Linked DNA regions of Tamandua tetradactyla. The protein of the gene in region 3 interacts with the protein of the main gene of each other region in a pairwise test. Links are inferred from orthologs where the notes say so. Each region holds a gene or a part of one and is shown on either strand. Other genes may lie near its edges. The genes, in order: FAM124B, CCDC87, GOLGA2 and GEM.

Region 1 (6,952 bases), on a different chromosome or scaffold from region 3:
GACACCAGGAAGCAGGGGGTGTCTCCACAGCCAAGGGTTGTGGGAGGTCTATGAGAAGGAGGGAATAATGTTCTCTTCCTACAATCTACCCTGGAAGGGTAATGAGACTTCTAGAAAATCCAAAGAGGAATATGACTATTTTTATGTTACATACAGAGATTTTCCTTTGTCAAAAAAATAAATGAAACTACTCTGCACTCCCCAAAGTTGATTCAATTTTCCAAAGTAACTACCAGTCAGTAGCTGTAATTCAGGAGTAAAACTGTCAGTAAGCCTCTAAAACCAGAATGATTAAAAATGTGCCCCCTGCTGAATACACATATTAAATTCTTGTTTGACAGTGAGGTTGGATCTAAATTCTGGAGATTAACTAAGACTGAAGGGGAAATTTAGATGCCTTGGAAATTAGTGGGTTATATAACAGACAACTAACAGAAACAGTACTGTCTACAGTATGTGATCAAGAAGGCAAATAATCTAGAAATCATTCAATATAGGCTATGATTCATATTTTATTTAACTAAGAAGTCAAAGCTGATAACAAAATGAGCCAACAGATAAGACAGCTCATCTCAGAGCCTGTTCTTACTTTATCAGTTATGCCTTAAAGGGGTTGGTAATGCTTCCTCAGGGACAGAAGCCACAGCGTATTTTGCTGTGAATATCATGTACATGTCCCTGTCTGCTAACACACACACACTCACTTTCACACCCACAGAGCCCTAGAGTACAACAGTTAAAACCATGAGTTTTGGAGGCTGATAGACAAACCTATAGGTGGGTCTTGGGCAAGTAACAGAACCTCCATGCCTCAGTTTTATTATCTTCAAAATGAGAAAAATAATGACATCTTATGTTACCAGGATTAAATAAAATAATTCAAAGTACTTATTATAGGGCATAATAGGAATAATAGCTAAATTTGAGTTCTGGGCACTATGCTAAGAACTTCATAAGTATTAGGTTATTTACTGTGCATACCAACCATTTAAGAAAATACTATTATCCTCATTGTGCTAAATGAGGAAACTAAGATACTAAGTGACCAGGCTCAACTATCACATAATACACCAGGAGAGATGGCATGGGGAGCCCATCTTGAGAGTTCAGCTTTAATAGGAAGGTTACAAAAGAAGGCTTTCTTTTGAAGGAGATTTAACCATCTAACTTGGTTTGAGGTAAAATTTGACAGCAGTACAGGCTACTTAACAAATTAAGTCAACAGGACCACAAACTTCACATCTCCAAATGTAATCACACCTTCGACTTCCTCAGGTCAGATAGAAAGAGCTTATGATATTTCTGAACCCAAAAATAAGTAGGAACAATATTTGGATCTAGTTGATTGGCATGGTAAAAAGAAAATCTGAGAAACAGGACATGGTCTGCTTCTCCGGCAAACTATATGTGTTAGCCACAAGCTCACTGAGTCTGAATTTCCTTATCTGTCAAGTGGGAGTTTTTTAGATCAGAAAACTCTCAACTGCACTATGTATTAGAATTATCCAAGGAGCTTTTTTTAAAAATGCCCAGTCTTGGATCACCCCCTCCCCCCCACCCCACCCCTAGAGATTCTGATCTAACTGGCCTGGCAAATGACCATGGCATGGGAATTTTTTTTAAGCTCCAGAGGAATGTAATGTGTAACCAAGGTTGAGAACCACTAGATTAAATTATGTCTTCATTCACATCTCAGATGTAAAATTACACAGTCTCATATGCTTTTACAAGTCCAGAGAGGGAAAACAGAAATACCTGCAGCAGAATCTTGTTGCCATCGTAATCCTGAGTTTGCCACCTGGTGCTGCTGATGGGAATGCATGGATTGGGTAGGAGAGGCACCAACTGGCCAATCTCTTGAACCCTGAACTGTAGCACAGAAGACTCTTTCAGGTCCACCGACACCCCGAGGGGCAGCTGCTTCAAAGAAAGCTGCAAGGCAAAGCCCTTGGTGGAGTAGAGCACAAAGAAACAGAAGTCGCTCTTTTGCAAGGTGGCTTCTTTTTGTAAGATCATCTCGTAGAGTCGGATGGTGTCCTCGTAGTTATCAAAACTGCAGTAGAGGGTCACCCTCAGGATCTCGGTGCTACAGTGCACCTGCCTCACTCCCCAGATGGGCATCTGGTTGTCCAGACTGTAGAAATCCTGATTGGCAAGGATGTACGGGTACAGTCTTCCACGTGCATGCTGGGTGGGGTAGTAGTGCCAAGGCGAATGCTGTAGGGAGTCAAGAACACGAAGTATCCGCTGCTCTCCCAGGCTCTCATGCAGAAAGAGCAGAACAGACATCCCCGGGAACCGTGACCGCTTGGGGTGGTACTTTTCATAGTATTTCACTGGACTGACCCGCTCTGACACCAGGAAGACTCGAACCTCTGGGCAAATGCAATCCAGGAGCTGGTCCAGAGTTTGCTGCAGAAGCGAGCCATGCCCTGAGTTGGCAAGGAGATGTACAGTCATGGCCAGAGGCTCTTGTCTTTCATCCATTTTGGAACTGCCAGAATACTAAAAGAAAAGAAAAAGAAGAAGAAGGAAGCATTCAGTGCCCACTGCTCAAACTTCTGAAATCAATGAAGGAGCCAGGAAGGCCATGTTGGGTTCTCACGTGGAACCTTCACCTCACCAAAAATGCTTCAGCTGCAACAGCTACTAAAGAGCAAAGCACTTAGCCAGCTAGTGCACAGCCTAGTGTGTGCTCACGGATGCACAGTGCGGGAACCGCGCACAGCCTGGGCACAACTGCTTCAGCTGCACACAAAGGCAGTCAGGCTGACATCATCCAGCTTCAGCAGAATGGAGCTCTTGTGTTTTGCTTTTTCAGGCGTTCCCCATGGTTTCTGTTTGACCTAAAAACCTATAATCCTGAGAAACAACCAAATGGGTGGTTCTTACAGGCACTCAGTAAAGGAAATGACCACTCAACAAAAAAAGAACATGCTGATAGCAATCTGGTTAGTTGAAAAGATAGCCATTTTATTGACCCACATGGGTTCTGATTTCCTCCCTGCATCTCTGGGTGTTTACAGTAGCCTGCCAGGCCACCTAAATATAAGGACTTCTTTAAAACAATTCTCCAAACTTGTTCCCTTGCCAGGTTTTTTTTTTCTTCTTCCCTTCTTTGTCTTTGGGTTTTTTTTGTTTTCGAACATTGTATGCTAGAGCATTGAGACAAGGTACTTTATCTAAATGATTTTGGCAGGTCACTGAAAATTCTTTGCTCTATTGCAAAATCTGAGTGGTCTAAAAGTACATTGAAAATCAAATCTCCCCTTATTCATCAAAATCTTCAGAAAGAAAAGGCTTTCCAATGTAATAAGAAAAACAATCATTGCTCATCTTTGTTGAGGATCCACAGCTCCGGACATAAACTTCTAAAACGTCATATGAATTCATTTCATCCTCCAAAACACCTATGAAGAGGAAACTATTATCCCCAAATTCCTGATGATGAGATTCAGACGCAGAAAAACTAAGTAACTCATGCGGGTTATCATAGCAAACAAGTGCCTCCGTGAAGGTGTCAACCCAGGAATTGAGAAGCACCTCTGAGACCTTCTCTGAGGTCTGGGCAGCGGCCCCGGGTTTTCTTCCTGAGGTTCTAGTTGAGGACACGTGTCTCCTAGAGGCTTTGTGTTTTGTGGAATCCTAAATTCTTAAATTCTGAAATACTCATCAAGAATATATTCAAGCTCTAAACACTGCCCATAACACACTAATATGCTCTAAACGTCGGTTGGAAAATCAATTGCTATTTTAGGAGCTGTGTCCTAGAAAGGTGTGGACAAGCACATCTATCTAAACATAATTCTTCTTAAAAATAGGCAATTTATTACTTAACAGAACACGGTGTGATTTTATTATTTTATCGATTTAAAAAACACTTTTGTCATGAAAAATATTATCGTAACTTTTATTTTATATATGGTTCCTTTAATAGTATAATAACCAAATATAAAGCCAAAATTACTGTCCATGGATAGGAATCATTTCTATTCAGGTTTATTCCTAAATCTAACCTACAATTTTAATCATTTCTGTTTCATAATTCCAATGCTTTATGCCTTGGAAAACAAATAAATGCAGTTTGTAGAGAAATCTTTTTAAAACAACTATCAGAGACTCAATAATTAAATATATGTTGCTTAAACTTTCCAAAAGTCATTAGAGTTGTTCTTTGTTTTTTTCTTGCATGGACAAGCAGCGGGAAATGAACCCGGGTCTCCGGCATGGCAGGCGAGAACCCCACCTGCTGAGCCACCGTGGCCCTGTTTTGTTTTTTTGTTTTTTTTAAGGATTACATCTCTTGAGTTGGTTTTTTTTTTTATTTTTTAACTCAAGTTATTTTAATTGATGGCAAATGTTAACATCTGAAGGCAAACAACTTCATCACTCAATGTGAAGCCTCTCTCCTTTCCCCTTTCCATCTACCTACAAAACCAACTATGTTCTGGCACTTTCTACAAGACCATGGTTCTTGAAACAGCCTCTGCAATTCTGGAAATAACTCTAAAACTCTGAGGAGGAGAAAAATTATACACTGAGACAAAGATATTAAGCGACAACATTTTGTACAAGGCAAATGTTTAAGTCCTCCTATAGGAAAAGGTTTTCCTTCTGGATGCTATTGTTTGAATCTCCCATTCAATTCTGAAACATACTCTATCCTCTCAGGATTGTCATTTCTGTTACGATTGAAAAGATTTCATGAATCTGATGGCAGTCCAAGTGCCAAGGAATTGGGGGTAGCTAGGGGAGGCGTGGGTGGGGAACCAGCAGTCTCATTTCTGCCTGGCTGTCTCCGCACGTATTTCTCCATGAACTAGCTGATACATTGACCCTTGGAGTGACTGCTTCCACTCCCTGCCACCCACCTCCACCCACACGATGGCCACATTCTCTGCTGCATTCCATGGCACTCTTGATGCTTGCACATGGCTTCTGTTGAATGCACAGATGAAAATGCTAAGGAAAGTTGTCAACTTAGACTCCCAGGAAGTGGACAGAATCAGACACTTGATTCTCTACCTTATTTTTCTTAAACTCGCCGAGATGCGCAGGTTTTAGCTATCGATCACCAGCTCCTGGAGGGCAGCCAAGTAGCCAACTCTTCACAGAGGGCAGAGGAGCTGGCGACAGTGGTGCAGGGAAATCTAAGAACTCTGCTAGAGGATTTGGTGGAACCCAGGGAGGGCCTCACGGATTTGTCCCTGCTGCAAATCTCATAAGCAGTGCAACAAATTCACACCCCGACGTCCTACCCCCACCTCAAGAAAACTTCTCTTTTCTCTCTTTAGTTTGCAAAATCTATTGAGGTATGCAACATGTTGCGAGCCAGGCATTTTGCCAGGAGCAGAGAAAAGATAATCACCTTGTGCCTACTTTGGGGAATGTGCCAATTGTGAGTGTGACCTTTGATTAGAGGGAGATGTAACTCCACCCATTCCAGGTGGGTTTTGATTAGTTTACTGGAATCCTTTAAAAGAGGAAATATTTTGGAGAGAAACAACAGAAATAACAGGGAGAAAGCCAACAGAAACTTTAGAGCAGAGCTGACAGTCAGAGAACAGAGATACAGATGTTTGGAGATGATTGGAGCCCAGCAGACGTCGCCATGAGATGTTAAGCATGTCAGAACCTGGAGAGAGCCAAGGGAAGCCAAGAGAGGAAAGCCAGCCCTGGAGAAGCAAACTCAGAAGCCCCCAAGGAACAGGGGCTGAAAGCTACAGAGTCCAGGAGCAAGGGACCAGCAAATACTAGTCATGTGACTATCCAGCTGGCAGAGGTATTCCTGACCCATTGGCCTTCCTGGAATTATGGTATCTTTCCCTGGATGCCTTAGTTTGGAGAATTTTATAGGCTTAGAACTGTAAACTTATAACATTAAATTCCCCTTTTCAAAAGCCATTCCAGTTCTGGTATATCGCATTCTGGCAGTTTGCAAACTAACAGAGGGAGGAACACCTTAGAGTACATCACTGATGCTGTGATAAGGGTCACTGCAGGATGCCATGGGAATCTTTGAGAGCAGCCACTGGCCTAGATGGGAGGGCCAAGGATGCTATGAAGAAGAGAAAGAAGATGACGCTTGAACTAGTGAAAAGCAAGAAGGAATGAGGTGGGGGAGGTGACTGGATATGGGGAAAGGGAAGGGATCCTAGGGAGAGAAAGGTGATGGGGAAAGCACCCGGGAATGGCTAGGGAGCCTCACTCATTGGTGCAACTAGCAGCAGTTCCAGATGGCAAAGGGTGGGGACTAGGAAAGTGGTAAGAGGCTGGAAAGGTAGGCAGAGGCTCCAACAGGAAGGGCCTCATGTACCACAGTGATGGGTTTGCATTTTATTCTAACGTGAACAGATCCACAGAAGGGTTGGCTTGGAAAAGGGAAGTAACTCCTGCAGGAAGATGTGGACAGGAGTGATAAAAGGAAAGTCAGTGGACAGGCTTGTTTACAGGTCGGATGTGGGCAGAAAGCTACAGTAACTAGTCCAGGAAGCCTCCCAGGTAATACTTAATAGATGCCTGGGTGAGGCTATCAGGGACCCAAAAAGGAATATGGGAGAAAAGGAGCAGTCGGGAGGGAAGGGAAGGAGCATGGTTTGTACATGTTGAGTGTAGATGCCTTTGGGACTTCAGAGTGGAGATGTCCAGTCGGCATTTAACATACAGTTTAGAGAAGGGCTGCAGGCCACAGAATATGGATTAGGGAGCCATTGGTATTTAGGTAACCATGGGAATGGATGCAATTACCAGAAAGAGAATATACAGTGAGGATAGGATAGGGAAGAGGATGGGGCCCTGGGAGCATCCAGGTTAAGGGATAAGTGATGTTTAATTGATGCCCAGGGAGACGTGGAGAGTAGTCTGCATCTCCTACATCTGTGCAGGTGCTTGAGCCTCAGGTTCCAAGGATTTCAGGACACCACACTGCCTGGGCAGACATCTTGCAGGATAA
Region 2 (7,984 bases), on a different chromosome or scaffold from region 3:
TTTCCCTGGATGCCTTAGTTTGAACAATTTTATGTCCTTAGAAGTGTAAACTTAATAATGCAATAAATTCCCTTTTTCAAAGCTCTTTCATCTCTGGTATATTGCATTCTGACAGCTTTAGCAAACCAAAAAAAAGTGGGGGTGGGAAGAACTATCACTATCCTCAGCTGAGCTAACATTTACTGAGCCTGTGCCGTGGGCTGGGCCCTCTTGTAAGGGCTTTATCCACATTAGTAACTCATCTGATACTCGGTCGGTAAGCTTGAGAGTTGGGTCCTATTATCTCTACTTTACAGATGAGGAAACCGAGGCATGGAGAGATTGAGAAACTTGCTCCAAGTCACACTGTTAGAAGTTGTGGAACTGGAATTCAAGCCCAGGCAGCCTCCCTGAGAAGTCCGAGCATTCAACCTGGCCACTCCGCCAGCCCAGAGAAGCAGCCTGTTCTCCCCAGGAGGGCTGGGGACCCCCCTCTTCTGTTCTCCTGCGGCAGCTCCCATTTCCTCTGAGTAACACAACATACCACTGATCACAAGTCCTGTTTCACTCACAGGCTGCCAGGTCTGTGAGGCTCGCTGGCATCAGGTTCAAAAGTTAGTGGGTCAGAAAAAGAGCCTGGAGAGTCTCAACTTCCCTTGAAGTCCCCAAAGTCACCCCTGTGTGTTCACAAGCCTGTGAGATAATCCCCACACACATTCAGCTTTGAGGGTCAGCGAGCCTACTCAAATTCAAGGCAGGAAAAGAAGAGGCTTCTCTTTTTCTCAGATTATTTGGGCTTTCAAGCCTTTTAAAAGAACTTTTGAATCCTCGGGCCTGTGGTTAAAAAGGGTCTCACTCTGCTTGCCTCTTGAGGTCCACTGCAGCTTGGTGACAGTATTGGGGGAGGGACAGACTGTGTCAGAAGTTAGACAGATAGACCCATCTCCTTCTCTGCCAGGACAGAGGGATCTTGGGATCCTCTAAAAATAATCAAGCTGTCTTTAACTTCATACATCTCACCCTGAGCCTGTGAAATCTTGGTGCTTGGGATGTGCAGCCAGAGGCACCTCTGGATGCCAACACCTGGACAGGGGATGTCGGGCAGGATGGGAAGGAACCTGTGTCCTGAGCCCCAGGGTGGGCCACTGTGCTCCGTGTTTTCCACTCACCAAGACAGAGATACTGTCCTCACAAAGCTCGGAAGGCAGCCTGTATAACCCCCAAAGCTGATACTTTGTCCCCTTGCCCCACACCAGGTGGGGTTGGACCCCAAAGGACTGGTTGTCTGAGGCTCCAAGAGATTTCATTTATTCATTCACATATTCATTCATTTGACAAATATGGACTAAGCACGGACTACGTGCCATGACCCAGGCAGTGGGAATGTATATAGCAAGGAAAAAGTCAGGAATGACTGTGGGGAAGGGAGAGCCATGTTAGGGTTCTTTTGAGGCCCATATGCAAGGAAGAACCTTCTAGCAGAGGGAATGGCACAGGTAAAGACCCTGAAGCAGGAACCACCTCGAGGTTTCTGAGAAGGCAGGCTAGTCTGCTGGAGCTGGGAGTGAAGAAAACAGCAAGATATGAAGTTGTAAGCAGGCACCAAATCAAGCAAAGCCCTGTTGGCCACAGGAAAGAATCTGGATTTCACGTAACGGGAGGTCATCGAGGGGACGCAGAGTATAGTAGCTGAGAGTTTGTGCTCTGAAGTTGAAATCCTGTACCTGCTGCATACTAGCTGTGTGGCTTTGGACAAATTACTCAAACTTTCCACTCAGTCTCTTTAGCTGTAAATGGAGCCAATAACATCACCTACCTCAGAGGGTTATTAAAGGCCTCATATAAAGCACTTAGAAGAGTGCCTGGTCCAAATGAAGCTCTCAAACATTGTTTTTACTGGAAGATTTTAAATAGGGGAGTGTGCCAGTTTGAAAGTATTATGTACCCTAGAAAGAAAGCCATGTTTTAATCCTGATCCAATCCTGTGGGAGCAGCCTTTTTTTTATCCTGATTTAATAATGTTGGCTAGAGACGTGACATGCCCAATTGTGGGTATTAACTTTTGATTAGATGGAGATGTGACTCCACCCATTCCAGGTGGGTCTCAATTAGTTTACTGGAATCCTTTAAAAGAGGAAACTGGAGGGTCAGAAAGAGAGAAATGACAGAAGACTTAGAGCCGACAGAAACTTCACAATCGTGCTGACACAGATGTGGACACGTGGAGAACAGAGACACGGATGTTTGGAGATGCTTGGAGCCCAGCTCCACTCCAGCTGCCATGAGATGCTAAGCAAGCCAGAACCTGGAGAGGGCCAAGGAAAGCCAAGAGATGGAAGCCAGCCCTGGAGAAGCCAAGTGAGGAACGCTCACTGATAGGCTGAATGCAACAGAGCCCAGGAACAAGGGACCAGCAGATGTCAGCCACGTGACTTCCCAGCTGATGGAGGTGTTCCAGGCCCACTGGCCTTCCCTGAGTGAACTCTTGTTGGGGCCTTAATTTGGACATTTTCATAGAACTGTAAACTTGTAATTTATTAAATTCCCCCTTTCAAAAGCCATTCCAGTTCTGGTATATTCCAGCAGTTTGCAAACTAACACAGGGAGCAACATTATCTTATCTATGATTTTAAAAACAACTCTGACTGCATTAGAGAGGCTAGCAGAGGGGCGACACAGGCAGTCGGGAGTCCACCAAGGAGCATCTTGCATAGTTCAGGAAAAGGTGAGATGGCCGGGATATGGAGGTTACACTACTTAAAAAGGGAGGCTGATTCGGAATGTTTTGGACATACATCTGACAAGGGTTTCAGAGGGCAGAGGTGGGTTCCTGGGCCCCAAGGTGGAGGGCCAAAAGCTGCTGCTCTCCTCCTGAAATGCAAAGGCAGGAAGCTCCTCTTAAGCATTCACCTTCTGAACTTAGCCTGGGTTGGAACCCAGAAGGAAGGCTCCCCAAATAAACAGCTGTTCAGTTCTGCAGAGAACCTCCTAAATGTGAGCTCTTTCCACTGACTCCTGGGAGGAGAGCTGAATCCTTCTTCCCCAAGGCCCCAGTCTCCAGGACAGGGCAGTTCTCTCGCACGTGCTCTTTCTCTCTTTGCATTCTGGAAAACTACAACTTCCCTACCTAGCCCATGAGAAAGTCAAGCTGGTTCCAGCTGCAGTCATCCAGGCCAGAAGTCACAGTCTCCAGAAGTCTACAGGTTGCCTAAGAAACCTGCTGTGGGCTGAACACTGCTCTGTGTCCATCAGAAAGTCCAGCTGTCTGCTCTCCCAGGAAGCAGAGGGCCTTACATCCTGGCAAATCTTTGGTCAGAGCCCTCCACATGCCAGTGGACTAACTCAAATTCCCTATGACCATTACTTTGCCACCTCAAAATACAGAATTTGAGCAAACTCTGCTTCAAAGTCTGCCCCCTCACACCTGCCCCCAACCAAACCATCACTGTGGGCTCTTCCTCTGAGACTACCCAAGATCCAGTATTCTCTTACCACACGCCAAAGACTTTTCTCAAGTACTTTTCATGTATTAACTACTTTACTCTTTACAATAGTCTTCCAGGATAGGTTCTTTTGCCAGCCCCATTTAAAAGCTGAAGAAACAGAGATGCAAAATATAATTTGCAGGTCTCAGAGCTATAAAGGGGTGAAGAGGTGATCTGACCCCAAAAAGACTGACTCCAGAGCTCATGGCCCTAACTGCTCTCACTGCCATTCTGTGCAGAGCTCAGTGCTCCTACTGTTCCAGCTGCAGAACCCTTCTCACTTGTTTCCTTCCAGAACCGCTCTTCCATGAAGTTCTCTGTGAATACTACCGAGGCAATGCTGGAGTGCCTGATGAACCTGGGAGCTTTAAGATGCCAGAGCTTGGTCCATTACCAGGGCTATGCAGTGAATGACTGGATAAACATTTAACAGAATCAGAGTAAACCAGTTCCCAGACCCAAGCTGATGGGTCTGCTTTCTCAGATCTCTGTGCCAGGTCACCTCCAAACTAGCAGGCTTTTGAGAACCAGGAGCCATCTAAGATGGTCCATCGCCAGGATTGCCGTTTGCTTCGTCATGATCATGCTGATTTCCAAGCAAGAAATGCCTGATTTCTGGGAAATGCCCTCGGTAGGAGGAGTTATACTCAGCCGGCTGAGGTTCAGAACACCCGAAGGCCAAGGCAGTTAGAGCCGATACATGCTCTGGCAGGGCAGACCTGCAACCTGTACACTAAGCATTGTCTCTGGGTCTCTGTGTTACTCTGATAACATTCCTTCCTTTCTCTGGGTCTCACTTTCTGCAGCTGTAATATGGGAGTTGGGTCGGTCAAAGAAATTTGTCTGGCCCCTCCCAGATGCCTCCAGACTGCTGTCTTCCGGGGAAGTTTTACAGGCTCTTACCTGCTACCCCTTGCAGGGACCTGTGTACCGCGTCCACGCAGCTTTGGCAGGTCATCTGCACAGCGAACTCCAGCTGCAGGGGCGGTAGGCACGAGCCGATGAGAGCCTGAGGCGTGCGCGACCCTGTTTCACCACCTCCCCTTTTGCCACCCCAAAGGCCTGAAGAAACGTCCCAAGTGACCCCTTTCCGAGCGCCCCCTTCATTATCACTCATGATCATTCCAGAACCGTGGTCCCATTCCTCAACAATCTCGCCAGGCGCCTTGCTACCTTCGCACCCCAGGGTCACCCAGGATCCCATGATCCGCCCTAGCTGCCCGCCCCTTTCCCCCTTTCTAGCTCCCTCACGAGGCCTCGACCCCCACCAGGCAGGTGGTCTCGTGGTTCCCCGACTCCGATGCCATCCCTGACTCAGTTGCCAGCGGGAAGACGCGAACCACTCCGCTCCTGCAGCGCAAACCCGGAAGAACATCGTCGGGGGCGGAGCTTCGGGGTCACCTTTTGACCCGTCCCCTAGTGCGTGTGCACGCAAAGCCCGCCCCCTCCATACGCCCACAGAGTGAGGGGCATAGGTTGCGCAGGCGCATTCGGGCCACTAGGACCCCGGTTGCCTTAGTAACCCCTGGGCCGCCTGGGCAACTGCAGACGCCGCCTTGGGCGAAGATGCCGCGCCAGAAGCGGGAGCCCGAGCTGCAGCACTTTTACCACCGCTTGCTGCAGCCGTTGTCGCTCTTCCCCCGCCAGGCGCCGCCCGCACAGTCTCAGAAGCGACCCCCGCAGGAGATGCGGATGCTGCAGATCCTGTCGCGCCCCCGGCTGACAGTGGCGTCGCTGTGCCGCCAGGTAGCCGAGCGGCTGGCCCGCTGCGGCCTCACGGCCCCGGTGCTTCCCGAGGACCGGCTCCGCCTCACCGAGGTCATCCTGGACGAGCTGAAGTGCGGCTGGCAAGAGCCTCCCACCGAACCTAATCTGAGCCAGAGGGACAACCAGAAGCTGCGGCAGCGACTCGAGGCCCACGTGCTGCTCAGCAGCGAGCAGCTCTTCCTACGCTACCTGCACCTGCTGGTGACCATGTCTGCCCCTGCAGGCGTCTTCACCGAGCCAGCCACCCTCACACGCTTGGCCGCCAACCTCGCCAGGGACTGCACGCTCTTCCTTACCGGCCCCGACGTTTACCGTTGCCTGCTCGCTGACTTCCGGGCTGTGCTGAGGGTACAGGCCCACCGCTCCGTGGACCAGCAATACCGAGGCAGCCCCCTGGAGGCTTCCAAACTCTGCCCTATCCCCTGGCCTCACAGCACCGGCTTTGCTCACGTGCCATGCTCCAGCCTCAACCTGAGCTACCTGGTCTATCTCAGCCGCCCGCCAGAGTTTTTCAGCGAGCCGCAACTGGATCCCATGAAGGAATTGAAGGCCATCCCCCAGCTGAAGAAGAGAAAGTCTCTCCACTGGCTGCCCTCCATGCCAAAGAAGGGAGAGTTCGACTTCATTCCCTCACAGACTGTGTCACCACCCAGTGACATTGAGATTCCCCCCAGTCCGGCTACACCCCCTCTTTACTTCCCCCTCTCCTCTCAGCTCCAGGGCCACCAGTCCATGCCTTGTCTGCGAGAAGGATGGAAGCTGGCAGATGAGTTGGGCCTTTCTCTGACCCCAACTCGCCCCTTAACCCCACTGGTCCTGGTTGCAGAGGGCAAGCCGGAGCTGCCAAGGGACACCCAGACTGAGGATCTGAAGCAGGTGGTAAAAATCAAATTGGAGAGTATTTGTGCCCTATCACTGGACTCAGGGCTGCCCCCACTCCTGGGGGCCCTCACCCGCCGCCCGGCTGCAGAGCACCGCATGAAAGAGCTGCAGAGGACATTGAAGGCCCTCCAGGAGGAAGAAACCTCTGGCCAGTTGGACCTCCAGTCTCCCAAAGCCCTGCCACTTCAACCCCAGCCAGTGACTGTGACTCTAAAGCTAAGAAATCAAGTCGTGGCCCAGGCAGCTGCTGTGCAGGTCTCCGATAGAAACTTTTTTGATTCCTTCCACGTAGAGGGGGCTGGAGTCGTGTACAACCACCTGGCTGGTGAATTGGACTCCAAACTCATCGAGGAAATGGATGCCCATTGTTTTGTGGGCAGTAACATCCAGGAGATCTACAAGGAGTTGATGAGCCGGGTCTCTACTGACCACTTCCGTTTTGACCAGGGACCCCTGGTTGAGCCTGCAGCAGATAAAGACTGGTCTACCTTCCTGTCCTCAGCCCTCCTACGTCAAGTAAAACAATACCGCATCATCAACCCTGAACTGGCTGATAATCATTCCCAGGAAGCAAACGCTTTGCAGCCCAACTTAGAGAGGCCGCCCTCCCTGGTAACGCTCTACCCAAGCAAAAGCTGGGATAAGCGGTCGAACAAGTTCACATGGGTGAACTGGTGGCAAGCCAGCTTGTCTGGAGGTAACTACTTCAAGTACCTCACCAGCCAGGAAACGGATTTTCTCCACGTCATCTTCCAAATGTACGAAGAGGAGGCTCCCGTGGAAATAGTGGCCCCTGTCAGAGCATCCCAGGAGATTCCTCCTCCCCCTCCTCCCTTGTTAGAAGATGAAGAGCCCTGGGACTTTGTGCCGGGAGAGTGGGATTGCAACGTGGTGCTGGAGCACGGGCTGGGGGTTGAGAGGCTGGACCTCCTGGGAGAACCCCACAGACTCCTGAGCCTGCAGAAGCGCCTGGAACGGCTGTGGTCCATGCTTGAGGTCCCCGACAAGGACCGGTTGGACATGGCCATCAAGTACAGCTCCAATGCCCGTCTAGGGCAGCTGCCTTCATTGGTGAGTGCCTGGGAGCGTGCCCTGCAGCCCATTCAACTGCGGGAGAGATTGCTGGGGAAACTCGAGTGGTTTGAGCGACATGCCTCCGACCCCAATCGCTTCTTCCAAAAGACTGGCATAGGCCTGAGTCGCCTCCTGGAGGAGAATCAGATCCGCAGCCATCTGTACAGGGAGCTCAGTCAAGTGGAGGCTTCTTTGGTTTCCCTCCTGGAGGAGATTGAGTTAATCTTTGAAGCTCCAGTGACCTTCAAGGGGCGGCGCTATCTGGACAAAATGAAGTATGACAAAGTTGAGATGCTGTACTGGCTGCAGCAGCGGCGGCGGGTTCACCACGTGGTCCGGGCCCAGAAGCCCTCCCAGCTGTCAGCCCTCTCCAAAAGGCTCAGCAGCCGGCCTTTAGTAGCTCCTGGAAACACTCCCATTACCCTTTGACCGGCCGAAGTACCCTCAAATCCCTTCCAGAACACCCAGCAGCTCATTCAGACCTCTTCACTGCATTGGAAGAAGAAATAGGGGAGTGCAGGCTTCAGGAACCTTGCGTTTCCAGTTACAGAAGGGTCTGAGAATAAAACTTTTTGATAGTGACTTTCTCAAAAAAAAAAACATACCCAAGCCCCAATATTCCCACTTACATTAAGCCATGCACAATACAGCCCAAATCTCATAGATCAAAAGAACTGAGACCATCCCTTGGAATTTATTGTAATGGGAAATGTCAGATGGAGGCAGACCATGACCTTTGGAGTGACCCAGTTTATCATTCCTAATACATTACATTAAATTGGCTGATTAGAACCACA
Region 3 (7,500 bases):
CAGGTGATTTTTAGAAAAGACTGGGAGCAGAAGATCCTAACCACTCATCTGTTTGGTTAACCTCACAGCCTTTACAATGAGCTCTTCTGAAAAAAGAACCTCAATTCTTTCAGCTATAATCTCTTACCCATATATTTCCTACACTCAAACCAAAAAGAATTCCTCAATTCGAAAAATCACAAACATCTTTGTGGTCTACTGGCCCCCTAGGAATAGATGATCTAAGGGCAAGACAAAGATTTTTAAAAAATCTCTCCTAGTCTGATAGCACCACTGGACATTCAATACCGAGGCCCAAATAGCTTATATCCCTGCTCTGAAAGTTATTCCTAAATTACCTAAGATACACTACCACCTTCTCCAAGGTGATAAAAGACTTGGGGGAAGGGAAAAAAACAATCAAGCAGGTGAAAAGATATGAGCAGGCTGAAGGTTAATGACAGCAACATAAAATAAGCTAGAAGTAAAGAATTCCCCAAACCAGAAAAGCCTCAGGAGCATGCACAGGCGGAGAGAGCAAGCCAGAGAGGGGGTCTTGGCACTGCCTCACCTTCCACTTGTCCAATGAGGGTAGTGCTACCCCATTGGAGCGGTTAAGGTCGGACACCAACACCTTCAGAAAGTCCTGAATCTACAGGCAGCAAAGGAGGAAAATAGGGGGAGGGGGGAGAAAGAGAGAAGTGACTTAGAAAGAGGTAAGAGTCAGGACAGCGAAGAAGAGGTGGGTTCAGGGAAATGGGATGCTGAAGAAGATACAGGAGGGGATCAATACCGCAGGCTGTGCCGTCCTTCCAAACAGCCACTTGCTGTCTTGCCAGAGGCAGAAATCAATGTACACAAATAAATGGAGAAGTTCACTAAATTAAGCAGTCACATAGACGGGGGGGAAACACACTTTTGAGTAAGGGTTCATTTGAACAAAGGGAGCTACAGCTAAAAAAAGTTTGAAAGATGCTGCTCTAGTCCAGCAATATCATCTTACAGATGAGGAAATGAGGCTCAGGGGAGGAAGAGATTTTCTGAAGGCAAACTGGTGGCAAAGAGACTCGGAACTCAGACCTTCTCCTAATCCTAGTGGCTGGGGCTTTCTTCATCACACCTTGGGGCTCTGTTGGGACTTTCTAAAGGGAGAACCTGACAGCAAGTGGCTGTTCTCATCAGCTTGGCTTCTCACTGAGGCTGGGAATGAGGAAAATCACCAGAGCAACAGGTCAAATGGAAACTACCATTTATTGAATATTTACTCTGTACCAGACCCTGTACTTAAGGACTTTTATAAAAACAGCAACAATTCTCATTTAAACTTCACAATATATAAATAAAACAGTATCTCTATTTTACAGATGTGCAAAAACAGTCCCAAAGAGCTTGAACAATTTTTCTAAAACCACATCCTTAGCAGAGGAAGACAAAGTCAGAATTCTTAACTAGCACTTAATACTTCCTCTTCCATAATCTTAACCCTTCTCCTCTACTGCTCTTTCTGCATCCCTATCCCCGGAAGCCTGGCCAGCCAAGACTCACATCCTCAGGTGAGTGGTCATCAGAAGTTGGTGTTTCAGGACCATTTTCTATCTTTTTTTTCTTCACTCTTGGAGGAACAGGAAGATTGTTTTTCATCTGAAATTCGCGTAACTGCAGAAAGGAAAAGGAGAGACGCTCATGAGAAATCTAAGCCCCTGGATGCAATCTGATTTAATGCCACACCAACTCTACAGGGTGTATAATTTTCGTTTAATTACCGAAGAAATGGACTCAAAAAAGTCAAGTGATAGGTAACATGGCTTAAAAAAAAGTTATTTAAATTTTTGACTTAGAAGTTCTGGGGTTCTCCCATAATCAATAGCTGCCAAGGGGAAAAACCAGAGATGGACATCGAAAAGTAATTATTAAATGGGCAAGACCAATACACTGTATGATTTAGAAATTAGATATAGGGATCCTTTCTATACTTCATACAGTAAGCACACTTCAGAGAACCCTAAGTCAAGAAGATGACATGAAGAAGATTCCCAATAGTGAAATTCATGCATTTTCCCAGGATCTATAGCACAGAAGATAAGCAGATCTTACTCTAAAGAGCATCAAATGAGGGGGAGTCTGGTCCCAGAATCTTAGGGTATTAGAATGTGAGGTAGACAACAAGAAATATTTCAAAGTCTCTCTGGAGAGTAGAAGCCTGGGAGAAAAAGCCAACAGTAAGCTCTCCCCTTGTCACCAAGCGATGTTGTAAACATTTTGAGATCAGCGGTGAAGTGTGGGCTGTCAATGTCTAAGGATGCGGTATAGCCAAAGTATGGGAGCCTGAAACCTCTCTGCCTATGTCCCACAGTCCCGAGTTCCCTTCAAGCTGGTAATCTGCTCCGCGACCAGAGAAGCCGGAAAGGGGTGAACACTGGGGATCGGATCGGAAGATCAAAGGCTGGTCCCATGGCGATAATGACAGCTCCGAGGGGGACTGTGACGTAACTGCATTCCATCTCTCCCTACCCTCCTCCGAGTCACCGCTCGGCGGTGGGGGAGGGGAGACCAGCGCCGGGACCGAGGTCCCAGGAGACCGGGAACCCAAGCTGGCCAAGAGCCCACGGTGGCTCGGTTCTGGGCAGCAGGACCCGAGAGCCCCGCTCAGAGCAGGGATCCTGGGGGTCACCGGCCCAAAGTCACCCAGGAGCGACGGGCGAGGGCGGGAGCTAGGCAGCCGAGGGGGCGGGACTGGCTGAAAAGACGAGAGGGGCGCCAAGGGGAGCCGAGGGGCTCTTCCCGTTTGCCTCAGGGGCAGTTCAGACTCTGGTCACCGTGTGGTGGGTCGGAGGGGCCTCCGGGCTGGGTCGGGAGCCGCGACCCAGCGCGCTTTACCTTCTTTCTGGCCGAAGCCAATTTCTGCTGTCGGGTTTCTTCCGACATCTCGGGAAGGGGAGGGGGACGGGGGAGCCACATCATCTAATCCCAGCAGCCACTGCGAAATCGCTTCCGCTAGCTACCGCGCCGATGTGTGACTGAGCCAGGGAAGGGAGGGACCAGGGAGGTACTAAGCAGCATAGAATGTGGGCGTGGCCTAAATCTCCCCGTCCATTGGGCGAGGAGAAAGATGACACGGAAAGGGGCGGGGCCATATCACTGTGGGCGTGGCCGGGAGGGTGTGCTCACAATGAAAGATCCTCGCGGAGTCACGTCTCCGCCCACTTTGGGGGGAGGGGCGCGACCGTTGTCTCCGCCCGCCTTGGAGGGGCGGGGCCCAACAGACGTCTCCTCCCACCCTGGGGGCGGGGCGCAACCGCTACCTCCTCCTACTCTGAGGTGGGGCGGACCCGCCTTTCCAGGGTGCGCGCGCAGGTCTCATTATGGCGGTTCATTTCCCACTCCGGGTTACCGTTACTCCTCAGATCTAAGACCCATCTCCAGCTCTAGTCCTGGACCCTCCCCCACCGCAGACTCCCCCTAGCCGGGGACCCCGGACTCCTGGGCTCAGGAGGTAGGCGAGGAGCGGAGAAAGGGGAAGGCTCAATCCCTCACAGCCCTTCTCCTGACTCCGCAACGGTTCCAGACTTTCTCACCCTCTCAAAACCCCGCTCCACCGCCCCACCAGACACTCCCTCCCCATCTGGGACCCTCCCCTTCCTCGAGGGTCCGGTACCTACCCTAATCTCGTGAGTATATCGCTACCCCTCCCAGCTGGATCCAGTTCGGGTCGCTTTTACTTCACATCTGCTCTTCCTCCCACAACCCCACAGCACCCTTTCCTCCCAGAGCACCCGTGAAGTCTAACTAGTTTTTTTCCTCAGATTCCTCTCCAGGACTCAACCAGGACTTTCCACTAGTTGCCGCGGGACCTTCAGATCCCCTGTGAGTATGTCTGTGCCCCCGCCCCCCCTACACTCGTACCTAACTACCTCTTGCCCTCCTCTCCGTCCTCAGCGGCAGGTGATCTACTCCTAGCCCTCATCCAGCGGTTGGTTCGCAGTGGCTGCTGGGACTGGATGATGTGGCCCCACCCTCCGTCCCCCTCCCTTCCCCGCGGGGTCGGAAGAAACCCGACAGAACCGACTGGCTTCGGCCAGAAGAAAGGCAAAGATCTTCCCTCTCAGACCTTATTCTGCCGAGAAACTCCAGGGTATTTCTCAATCCCTCATCTTCTCACCCCTACACACATTTTTTCCTCCTGTCTGCTAAGTTTGGGGGGGGGAATCATTGTCCTGTCCTGTCAGAAGCCAAATTCTGTGCTAGTGGCTGGAATCCCCTCCGCCCTGCCCTCTCCCTGCCTCCCAGATGTATTTGCTGGTCTCTGGCACCAGCCAACTCACCTGCTCACTGGTTTCTCCCTTCACCCAGCCCTACCTTTAAACATACCCAAAACTCTTCTGTCGGGAACAGGCATAGCTGCAATTGTCTCCTCTTCTCTAGCAAACCACCCCCAAAACATGACCTCCTTTGCCTTCTCCCCTTATCTCCCCCACCCCACCCCACCCCTGCCCCATGGGATTCCCACCACTTCCCCCACTCTCAAGTTAGACTGTGAAATACTTGGTACACATTTATGCGTTCAACATTGATTAAGCAACTGCTCTGAGGCTGGCATCAGGGATGCAAGTGTATGCGGTAGTCCCTGCCTCCCAAGGAGGCACAGGCTGAGGATGATGAACAGGCAGAATTCCAGGACCATATGAGCACATTTATGTGAGGAGGAGCCCAGACTTAGGAGTGCAGTGAGAGCTCCCCAGTGGTAGTGAAGTCAGAGGCAAGGGCTAACTGACAGGGTAGATTAGGCCAGATGATGTGGGTGGGAAGCCACAAGTTCACCAAAAGTACCAGGTTGATTGACCCTCTCTCTAAAAGTACCCTGATGTTACTTTCTTTCAGAGAGTCTCAGTATTCATTGTCTTTGACCTCCCTGTGTCTTCTGATTCTGCCTAGCACATTCATTCCCATCACTAACAAGTCAAGTCTTTTATTTTACTAAGCCCTTACTTTGCCTCAATCATTGTGGTTGATTCATCTTGCTGAATCCTTTCAACAACCTTTGAGGCAGAAGCGGATGAGGACTCTGAGTTCCAGAGAGATTATAAATCTCACAGTCCTGGGAGTGATGGAGTTGCAGCATTTAAACTGAGGCAGCCTGACTCTAGATCCTTAGCTCTTAACTAATACCTTCTTTGGGCCTCTTTGGAAGATACCTTATCCTGATCCTCCTCTGTTTTTCCTTGCTTGCTTGGCTGGCTCCTCTGCCTCCTGTTTCTTCCTTAACATGAATTTGGGTGTATTCTTGTGGTTCCACCATCCTCCCTCTATTGTTTTTTCTACACACTCCCTCAAAGATCTCACTTCAGTGCTTTCAGCTCATGTCAGTGCAGATGATTCTCCCATCTCTCTCTAGGCCGGACCTCTCTGGACACTTAACAGCTGCCAGCAGGATACCTCTACTTTCCTTTCCAACCATCCTCACATCAGTGGTCCCCTAGTCACTCAAACTGTCTCTCCTCCTTATTAATGGCACCACAGTTAATTATTTTTATTATTTTTCACAGCACTTTTATTATCCCTTCACCCACCCCATTCCACCCACACTGAAACCACTCTCAGTTCTCAAACACATTGTGCTGTCCCCTGGCTAAGGACCTTTGGATATACTGTCCCCTCTGTCTGGAATCCTTTCTTCCATCCTTTTCTTTTGCCATCTTTTTGCTTGCTCATCCCTCCGTATTCAGCTTTCTTAGCCTTCTCCATACTTTCAGGATTCAGCTTTCTCAGCATTCTCCCCACTTTTGGCTCAGCTGATTCACCCTGTGCTTCCACTTCAGGACACTTTTTAGACTTGTAATTAGTTGATTAATTATATGTCATTCATCTGACAAATATTGGGTGCTTCTTTATGTGACAGGTACAGTCACAGACACTATGGAATCAGCTTTGAACAAATGAAAGTCCCTGTCTTCATGGAGCTTATACTCTAGTGGTTTAAGGCAGACAATGAAAGTAGTAACATTGATGAAATGTTTATGTCAGGTGGTGATAATGCTATAAAAAGTCAGGGTAAAGGATAACAAGTGATTGAGGAGTTATCGTTGTAGACAGAGTGTATGCAGTGACATGTGAGAACAAGTTTCAGTGGAAATGTCTGGAGGAAGGGCATAATTGTTTGGTCTTTTCTATCTGGGGCCAGGCTTGATGTTTCATGAAGACAAGACCAGGCTTGATGCCTTGTCCATTGTTAAGCTCCTGGAGCTTTTCCCAATGCCTGGCAGATAATGCTGTCACTATTTGTTGGTTAAAAGCCACAGATCTAAGAACAGGAACCATGTCTTCCTTATTCTCTTCTGTCTAGACACTTCACGTAAAACAAATTGTTTTGAGATTAGCCTTCACAGCCTTTAGGGACAAAAAGGACAAAGATAAAACTAGCTCCTAGAAAGTATTTTGCCCTCCAGTGAGATTATAATTCCAGGGACATAGCAGATTTGAGAACCCAAGAAGGTGACCAGAAACGGAATTTTTTGGGTCAGATTGAGGAATAGGGTAGGTATATTAGTTAGGATTGGACTTGCCTGAGAGTGAAAGAAAGCTCCAGATAACAGTGACTTAAAAATCACTAAGAGGCAGGCAATGGTGGCTCAGTGGCAGACTTCTCATCTGCCATGCCAGAGACCTGGGTTTGATTCCCAGTGCCTGCCCATGTGGAAAAAAAAAATCACTAAGTACCCATGCCTCTATCTTGTCCTGCCATGACTTCAATGTATGGCTTCTATGTCATCTTCCAAGATAGTTGTTCAACACCAGCATTACATCTGCATTCCAGCCTGTAGGTAAGAGGAAAAGCCAGAGAAAGGCATGCCTTCTGCCTCGAAGGATGATTCCCAGATATTGTATACACCATTTCTGATTGCCTTCCATTTGCCAGAATGTAGTCATAGGGCTCATCTAATCCTAAAGGGGGCTGGGAAATATAGTCCCATTCAATAGGGAGGTAGGTTTCTATTACCACGACAAAAAAGTAGAGTGATTAATGGGGGAGGCACTTTGTAGACTCAGAATTACAGATAATTGGCCAGTCCAGTTAATGACTTTCTGCCACTCAGATGCTGTCTCCCAAGTCTGACCCGGCCAATGGAGCCAGCGAGGATTCTCTTCAGCTTGACATTCAGAAGCTGAAAGAGAAGAGGGACATGTTGGACAAGGAGATCTCCCAACTATTATCTGAGTAAGTCCCCTTTGCTGGATTCCTCGACATGGTTAAGAAAACTTTTGATTTGTGCCCAGTAACTGAAACTTGGTCACACTAGCTTAGCGTAAAAACAGGACTGTGCTGTTGGATTCATGGTGACTCAGTGGCCTTCAGGGCAGGGAGGCTGGTCGGCCTCAGGAGAGCCCAGAACTGGAAACTGGAAAGCTGTCAGGAGTGGAGTCAGTCACTCTTCCGGTCTCTCTCTTGGGCTCCCATTCTCTTCGTCTGCATCCATCTGCACAGATACTCTAGTCTCTTTCTTCAGCAAGGTTTTCAATGCATAA
Region 4 (7,649 bases), on a different chromosome or scaffold from region 3:
GTAAGTCTCCATTTCTTCACCTGTAAAATAAGGATATTAGTGCCAAATTGGTTCAATTTTGTAACTATTATCAAAAGTACAGGTGATGCAACAGTGGCTCAGTGGCAGAATTCTTGCCTGCCATGCTGGAGATCTGGGTTCGATTCCCGGAATCTGACCATGCCAAAAAACAAAACAAAACAAAAATACATGTGGGAAGTAAACGGCAGAATGAGAAAAGCACTGAACTACGATTCCAAAGCCCTGAGTTCTAATCCCAGCTTCTTGAATAGGTGTTTTTAGACAAGCCACTTGGTCTCTCTGAGATTCAGATTATTCATATGAGGATAGGAATTCTGTGAAAACAACAACAAAAAGCAATAGCTTTTTCTGCCATTGCATACTCAATCTTATGAGTATACAGTCTCATTGCATACACTCATTCTCAATGTTCGTTCCTTCCTCCCTTTCCTCCTCTTTCAGCAACAGTCATCCTGCACCCTTTCCAAAGGAAGAAAGGATCAATTGTACAATACTGACCCTACTCCTCCCTTGTCAGTTTAGTTGTCATCCCTGAGATCCCAAAAGCGAGTTGAGAATCTGTGTCACATCAGTGAGTCATCACTTATAGCACAATTCCTGAGCTGCCTCATAATGAAGTAAACTCCCTGACACTGGAGATAGTCAAGAAGAACAAGATGTTTAGTTCAAATGGGCCACTGGTAGCGAGCATCAAATGGAGGGTAGAAGTGAGTCATCACTAAGGCATCTGCCTACTCTAGGAGTGTGATTCAGTTGTGAGTCGCAATGGAGTGTGTGGACAGACCAGGAGACTTGGGAAAGGACTGGACTTTCATTTCTACAGCTACAAATACAAATGCTCAGCTACCTTGATTGTGTATGGCAAGTCTCTGAAAATCATAGCTAAAAGACACTGCATGAACACCATAGGCTGTTAAGATTCTCATCTTACTTCCCAGAATGTAGTGCTGTGCTTTACACCGAGTTCAGGAATACATCTATTTATGAGCTAATGCCACCTCAAATTAGTTTTGGAAATAGGTAAGCCTTAAATAAATGAGTATTTTAAGTGAGATTATACAGTGGAAATTGTTTTGAAAAGATATTAGACTTTATACAAAGTATTTATATCATTATTATACTTCAAATATATTTTTAATGTACTATTCCGAGTAAATTTTTGACCAGCTCTATGCCACCGATTGGGAAAAAGTGCCCCTCAGGCTAAGTCAAGTGTAGCACTCACCCTGGCCACAGTCCACCTTTCTCCAAGGAACACAGATGCACTTTTCAAAATGAACCTTCGGGGATAAGAACTGAGGCAAAAGGAGGGAGAGGACAAGGTCCAGGTCAGAGCCAGCAAAAGCCAGCAGTGGGATCTTGACTCTCTGGCTCTGGGCCCTCGTTAATCAGACTCCCCCAATTCTTTTAAAGCTGGAACATAAGCAATTCCCTTGCTGGCCCAGGTTCAACAGATTTTGGCCCTTCTCATGAACATTTTTATTTTCTTGTCCCAAGGACCTATGCCAGGGCCCTTTGGGGGACTCAGCTCCTCCAGCCACGCCAAGAATCTCAATTCCCAACTCTGCAGATAAATGACCTACCACTCGCCCTTTCTTCTCGGTCCCTCTGACCACTGCTGATGGACAGAAGCCCACTGGGGCTGAGCCACCTACCTCCCAGCATCTCACAGTCGCTGTCCATGCTGTCGTGCACACCTGCAAAGATGTTGGCCAGAGTGGACTTGCCCACCCCTTGCTCCCCAATGAGCACTACCCGGTAGTAGGTGTTCCCTGACTCTGAGGAGATGACTGAGTCCGTGGAGTCGGAGGACCAGCTCCGGCGGCAGGGGTCCTCAGGGGCAGCCGAGTGGCGGTTGCGGTGGCTGTACTGGTGGGGCTCTTTCTGAACCATCAGATGCCTGCCGTCAGCTGGGATGCTCCAACGCTGCTGCTGCGGCTGCATGGCCACAGTGCCCTGGCGCATGGTGACATTATTCAGAGTCATCGCTGGGTCCTGGGGAGCAAAGCGGCCAAGATGCCAGTATTAGTAAGCATAGGCAAGAGCTCAGGGGACTCAAACACATGGTCAGTCATCAGTGACATTTTATTAGGTTAGTTGAGAAGTGAACATCCCTAATATAAGGAATACCAATGAAGTAGCCCCAAACCCCAAACAATCCAGGCTTTCAACACACACACACACATACACATTCCCCACACTATTAGTAACCACCTCCTCATGGAGGCTTTCTAGACTTATATTTGCAAAGAGAAAACACTACCGTTAATGTCACCCACTGCCCACCAGCTTCCTCCATCCTCAAAGCAGCCTGGGATCCCTACTCAGAGCCCACACAGCAGCAGCCAGAAAGAACCAATAGCCTCCTTGTTGAAAAGCAACAAGTTAACTGAGCAGGGGACCAGCTGGCCAGGTTAACTGCTCTTGTCTAAACATGGCTCTTAGCTGCATCAGGACCAGCAGGCTTTTGTGCCTCGGTAGGAAACACGTGGCAATGACATCACTCCCCCAACTGGACTGGACAAGCACTTATTGGAACTTCCATGTTTAGTAAAGTTGCCTTGATGTTCTCCAGCTGCCTGACTAGGCTATTATTTGGAGGAAAAAAGAACTTCTGTTTGAAGTTTATGCCTCAGCTCTGCCCTCTTGCCCACAGATATCATGTTTAAAACATCCCAGCCCCAAACCTCCCCTTCTCTCATTGAAATGACCTGGCCACATTCAAATCTATCAGATTTTGCATTGACAGTGCTTCGCTCTTATTAATCTAGGTACACTCTGAGAATTCCTTAATTCAACTCAGATTTCCACCTTGAAGCAAACCAGAAGCCCAAAGTCTCTCCTAAATGACCCTCAATCACTTCACTTACAACTTAGCCCTTGTAAGACTCCCTCCCCTGCACAGAGGTCTGCCTTCCCTGACTACTTTGAGTTAAAGTAGCATTCTCATTGTAATCAGCAAGATCCACTCATAGGAGTGTGATATACACTCCCACACCCCCACACCCCACACCCCACCACCTTGGCCCCTGAACCGGCTGGCCCGCTGGTGCTTAAACCTTAAAAGCAGCACTTCAGTTGGCAGACTTGCAGTCACACGACAAAATCATAAAGTATCATAGAGCTCTGCCGTCTGACCTCCCTCCGTAAGAGGTGACCCTCTGCTGAACAGAACTAAGGAACCTGCTGGAAAGAAGCAGCATCCTTTGCACCTTAAACTATGCCCCTTACCAGACAACCACAGCGCAGAAAACTGTGGGTCTTTCGAACCTTGGAAGAAGCCCTGCGGTCTCGGAAACGCCCACCCATTCCCCCGACCCCATAACTCCCTGCGACGTACGGAAAACCCTTCCCCTACTGCCCCCCTTACTTGGCACGGCGGGGTCAGTGGGGTCGTCGTCGGTGAGTCCGTGTGTCCGTCCGCGCTGGGATCCTGGGGCCGCGGAGCGCGGTGGGGCTGCTCGCGCAGTGACCGCCCGCCGGTGCCCGCCGCCTGCAGCCGCCACGGCCCCGCGGTTTATAAAGAGTCGGGTTGACCCCAGACGGGGCTTTTCCGTGACGTCAGCGCCCCCGCCGGGAGGGGGCGGCTCTGCAGCAAACTCAGAGTTGCAACCACTCCACACTAAATCAGTTACTCGCAGTCATGTGACCCGTCTCCCCTTTTAAAAAATGACAGTTCATTTCCAGGGCTTCCTTTATTTTGTTTTATTTGACTTTTCCCAGGTAGAAACAAGAAAATGACAAAATACACTAACTGCCACTTAATCGCCGTTCCTAGCACAGCACTGCAAGCTGTTTGGGATAACGGACGGAGGAAGAAGGAGGCATGAGTTGTGAGCCCAGCTTTGCCAAGAAAACAGGGATCATCCCTGCACGAGGAGAGCTAGCCTCCAGCATGGGGCTGCAGACAGCTTCAGCGGCCAGGGCTTGCTTCAGCCGCATTTTCTATATGGAAAACAGCCTCGCAGGGCCTCCTGCCGCCTTCTTTCTGGATAAGGGGTAAGGAAGGGGGCAGGCTCCACACTGCTCTGAGTTCCTTGTTTGGAAGGGGCAAGAGAGGGGTGAGAAGAGGGGCAAGACCTTGAAAAGGGCAGTTTTGAAAAATAATTTAATTAGGGATCGAAGCACATTGGCCTAAATATTGTAGGACCTTCTGCTCGGGGCCAGGATGCTGAGGCTTCTCAATCAGGGAATTTAATCAGCATTCCAATCAGCAGCATATCTGTACCAGGATCTCTGGTAGGCCGGGGCTCTGGCCTGGAGCCAGTGTCTCCCAGCCATGGGGAGGGACATTGAGCAGAGGCAAGGGGCTCCAGTCCCCTGAGAGACTCCTATGAATAAAGCACACAGCATAGTAATAACAGCAGTGATTGCCATTTTCGGAGTACCTCATTACCGAATTACTATGTCCCGTCATTCCTTTGCAGATTTTAACTCTTAAAACAATTCTGCAAGATGGACTTATTGCATCCCCCAATCTGTGGAGGGAGAAAATGATGCTCAGCCAAAGAACCTGCCCAGTGTCACACAGCTCAAAATAAGTGGCAGGTTCAGGATTCGAAACCTCCTTTGTTTGACTCTTTGCACTGCATCACCAGGAGAAGGGTTTTGATGACCTCTTCCTGGGGACATGGGCATTACCCAGATGCTGTGCTTGAAAATGATGCTGGCCTTTCTGACCCAGCCATCCACTTTTCTGGCCAGCTTCATCTCTGGGTTGGCTGGCGGCTCAAGGAAGCAGCCAAAGGTACCAGCGTCTATTTGAGTGACTAGACTCTGCTGTGACTAGAATTTATATGGCATCTCAGTCCATTTTCAGTTATCTGCTTTAGGGATTATCCAAATGACCAGCTGCTGAGATGTGCCAGTCCCCACGCTGGCCAAGGTGGAATCCACAGGGTAATGAAAACTTAGAGCACCTTTAGCCCCATATGTAAGGAAACTGAGACCCAAAGAGATGACAGCCAATCAGTTAAAGTAAATGGCAGAGCTGGGGCTAGAAACTGGGTATCATAATTTCCTGGCCAGTGCCCTTTCTTTTGGACTTAGCCAGGAGACTACAGATATGGAGCAAGGAAAAGAGGGGAAGTAAAGGGGGAGAGAGAGACAGAGACTCCCTCACTCCATATTAAAACATGTGTAATTTGTGAATTGTCTGCATTTCAGAATTATCCATGCTATTCATGCTAAGCCTCCTACTCTGTCAACTTGTCTCAACAGGAACAAGTGAAGAGTAAGATAATAAATCAGAATTAATATGCATATCATATATTTTTCTTTTTCACCTTTGCCCAAAGATACCTAATTCTTCATATTAAAAAGAAGTGAATTCTGTACCTGGCAATTTACAGTGAGCTAGTTTTCATTGTCATATTTAAGACACACCAAAGAAAATGATCTCTAAAGATTACAAGTGGGAGGACGGTTGGCTTTCATCCATTATTGATTCAGTAAGTACAGCAATGTTTTGTTTGAATTAGAGAATCTGCCTTCATAAATGTGCTGACCCATAAGGACCAAGATGAATGCAAATGAGAAAAACAATTACTTAGGGAAAGTTTAAATAATACAACAGCTAAGTTGGAGTGAATATTTAGAGAGAAATCACAATTACAGCACACGAAAAGAAAATTTGAGAGCCAAATCTTATCCAGCAGAGTTTCAGCTGCTTTATCCAATATTCCATTTCGGTGGGACCATTGGAGGGTAGGAGCTTGCTCAGGGCATTTGAGCAAGTGGCAAGTTCTAAAGAGGAGAAATTGGCAGACATTGTAGTTTCTTAGTCTATGAATTATTGTTTCCATATTTTTTACGCCAGAATTTGACAACTGCCTCAGGTTCGGGCTGAACTGAAAAAGCTGAGCTAGCTAGGAGGCAAAATTGAAAGCAACAAAAATAACTGACATTTACTGAATAACATCCATGACTTATCTCAATTAATCCTCATCACATCTGTCATTATCCATATTTTATAGATGAAGATGCTGAGGGATGAGATTGAATGATTTACCCAAGGTCATGGAACTGTGAGGTGACAGAGCTGCACCCTCTAAGGCCACCGTCTTCACCGCTGTTTGATTTGGGGTAGAAGGACACGTCAGCCCTGTTCCCATACTAGTCCCACCTCTTCCCACTCCTTTCCTGACACCCCTCAAAAAGAACCTTTTGTCTGATTGCCCAGAGCCCATGGCTTTCACTGGGCCACATTTTGCCAACAGGCAGGGTTACTAAAAGGTATTAACCTATGTTTTTCTGTTTTTATTCCTAGTTCCTTGTCCTTGGTGAGAATGTAAATTCGGGGTCCCTTTGAGGACCATCTCTATCGCTGTCACTGTCTCTCTCTCTCTCTCTCTTTCCATGCACACTGAACAACCAGGTCCCTTGCCTTTAAGCGGGATGAAAGAGGGTGGAAAGAAGGGAGGAAAGAAGAATAGACTCTTTGACCAATCCTGTGAAATAGGGCGTTAGGCGCTTGCACAACCATTCATAAAACATTACTTTGTATTCTATCCTTTGAAAATTCAACGGGAGGAAAGGTGATGGATAGTCACAGGATTTGTACATCCCTGGGTCTGTGATAACATCCTAAAAGCTATAATACTTTATTCTAAAAGCAACAAACTCACACATTTAATCTTTAATGTTCTCTACTGCTTCATCTATACAGTAGACTTATTACAGCTACAGTAGTATTCTCACATGCCACTAAGTAAATGCTCCTCAGTGGTAGAGGTGATGCCACCACCACTGCCTCCCTTTCCCACCACCAAAGAGGTGACTTCTAGATTGGACACTGGAGAGATGCTAAGTGGGGGTTGTTTGAGTGCTTTTTAAAAGTTTTGCATTGTAACATCTTTAAGCAAGGCATGTGCTCTCCAGTTCCCCAGTCCTCACACTCCCTAAGGCATCCACCCCAGCCAGCTTTTCTCATGTATATTGTCTGCCTGGCCCCCCAAAGGCATCTGGCTCTGTGACCCCCTGCATGGGATAAAGGAAAGAGTAGGGGATTTGGCCAGCCTTGCCTCTTCTCAGCCATGTGATGCAGGGCATGTCACCAAACCACAGAGGCCTTGGTTTTTGCTCCGCTGTTCTGGGGACTAAATGAGCTACTGAATGTGGAAGGGTTTTGTTAACCACAGAGTGATTATGATTATGATGCAGGAGCCCAAGATTGGAACTTGGCCACATGCCCTCGGCTTTGCTGCCTCGTAAGCCGCAAGTTAAATTAACCCAGTAGAATTCAAGACACATGCAGTGGAGGGAGGAAGGGCGGGAAAATGTACTCACATTAGATGTTGCTAGGAAAAAATAATTAGCAAGGAGAGTGGTGTGGTTAAGTTCTTTGTAAACAAACAAGGAAATGGGGGTCAAATACCCAGCACTCATAATAGGGCTCCACCAGCCATAAAAATATTCAGAGGAGGAGCTGGGTGGGAGGCAATGTGCAAAATGTTGGAGAACAAAAAGAACCACCCATCCACTCTGGGAAGTCTAAAGAAGGAAAGAATTACTATATGGAAAATCATTGCTTTACAGAGGGGGTAAAAATGGTCCCAGTTGCAAAATCAAAAGAGCCCTGATTAAGAGAGAATAAAGCCTGAAGAAAAGATGGCTAAGAATAACCTTTC

What was found.
Region 1: the proteins of GOLGA2 (region 3) and FAM124B interact in binary tests that used the Homo sapiens proteins (3 or more experiments, as listed by UniProt). The two-hybrid records come from large-scale screens. The link is inferred for Tamandua tetradactyla from reciprocal best matches to the Homo sapiens genes GOLGA2 and FAM124B.
Region 2: the proteins of GOLGA2 (region 3) and CCDC87 interact in binary tests that used the Homo sapiens proteins (3 or more experiments, as listed by UniProt). The two-hybrid records come from large-scale screens. The link is inferred for Tamandua tetradactyla from reciprocal best matches to the Homo sapiens genes GOLGA2 and CCDC87.
Region 4: the proteins of GOLGA2 (region 3) and GEM interact in binary tests that used the Homo sapiens proteins (3 or more experiments, as listed by UniProt). The two-hybrid records come from large-scale screens. The link is inferred for Tamandua tetradactyla from reciprocal best matches to the Homo sapiens genes GOLGA2 and GEM.

Annotation. Positions count from the first base shown.
Region 1 is NC_135329.1:200,148,604-200,155,555, forward strand, and holds the start of FAM124B (protein FAM124B), read right to left. Parts: upstream 3,010-6,952; 5' UTR 2,488-3,009; coding exon 1,756-2,487; intron 1-1,755.
Region 2 is NC_135335.1:7,814,423-7,822,406, forward strand, and holds CCDC87 (coiled-coil domain-containing protein 87), read left to right. Parts: upstream 1-4,983; 5' UTR 4,984-5,030; coding exon 5,031-7,616; 3' UTR 7,617-7,825; downstream 7,826-7,984. Other genes in the region: CCS (copper chaperone for superoxide dismutase), read right to left, coding at 4,368-4,440, 4,733-4,771. UniProt on the Homo sapiens protein: Plays a role in spermatogenesis, where it is important for normal sperm head morphology. Also required for the acrosome reaction and thus normal male fertility.
Region 3 is NC_135328.1:51,074,387-51,081,886, forward strand, and holds the start of GOLGA2 (golgin subfamily A member 2), read right to left. Parts: upstream 3,009-7,500; 5' UTR 2,941-3,008; coding exon 2,857-2,940; intron 1,636-2,856; coding exon 1,525-1,635; intron 632-1,524; coding exon 551-631; intron 1-550. Other genes in the region: DNA repair protein SWI5 homolog, read left to right, coding at 3,149-3,297, 3,432-3,647, 3,783-3,843, 3,962-4,111, 7,071-7,192. UniProt on the Homo sapiens protein: Peripheral membrane component of the cis-Golgi stack that acts as a membrane skeleton that maintains the structure of the Golgi apparatus, and as a vesicle thether that facilitates vesicle fusion to the Golgi membrane.
Region 4 is NC_135332.1:137,604,036-137,611,684, forward strand, and holds the start of GEM (GTP-binding protein GEM), read right to left. Parts: upstream 3,004-7,649; 5' UTR 2,321-3,003; coding exon 2,285-2,320; intron 2,017-2,284; coding exon 1,677-2,016; intron 1-1,676. UniProt on the Homo sapiens protein: Could be a regulatory protein, possibly participating in receptor-mediated signal transduction at the plasma membrane. Has guanine nucleotide-binding activity but undetectable intrinsic GTPase activity.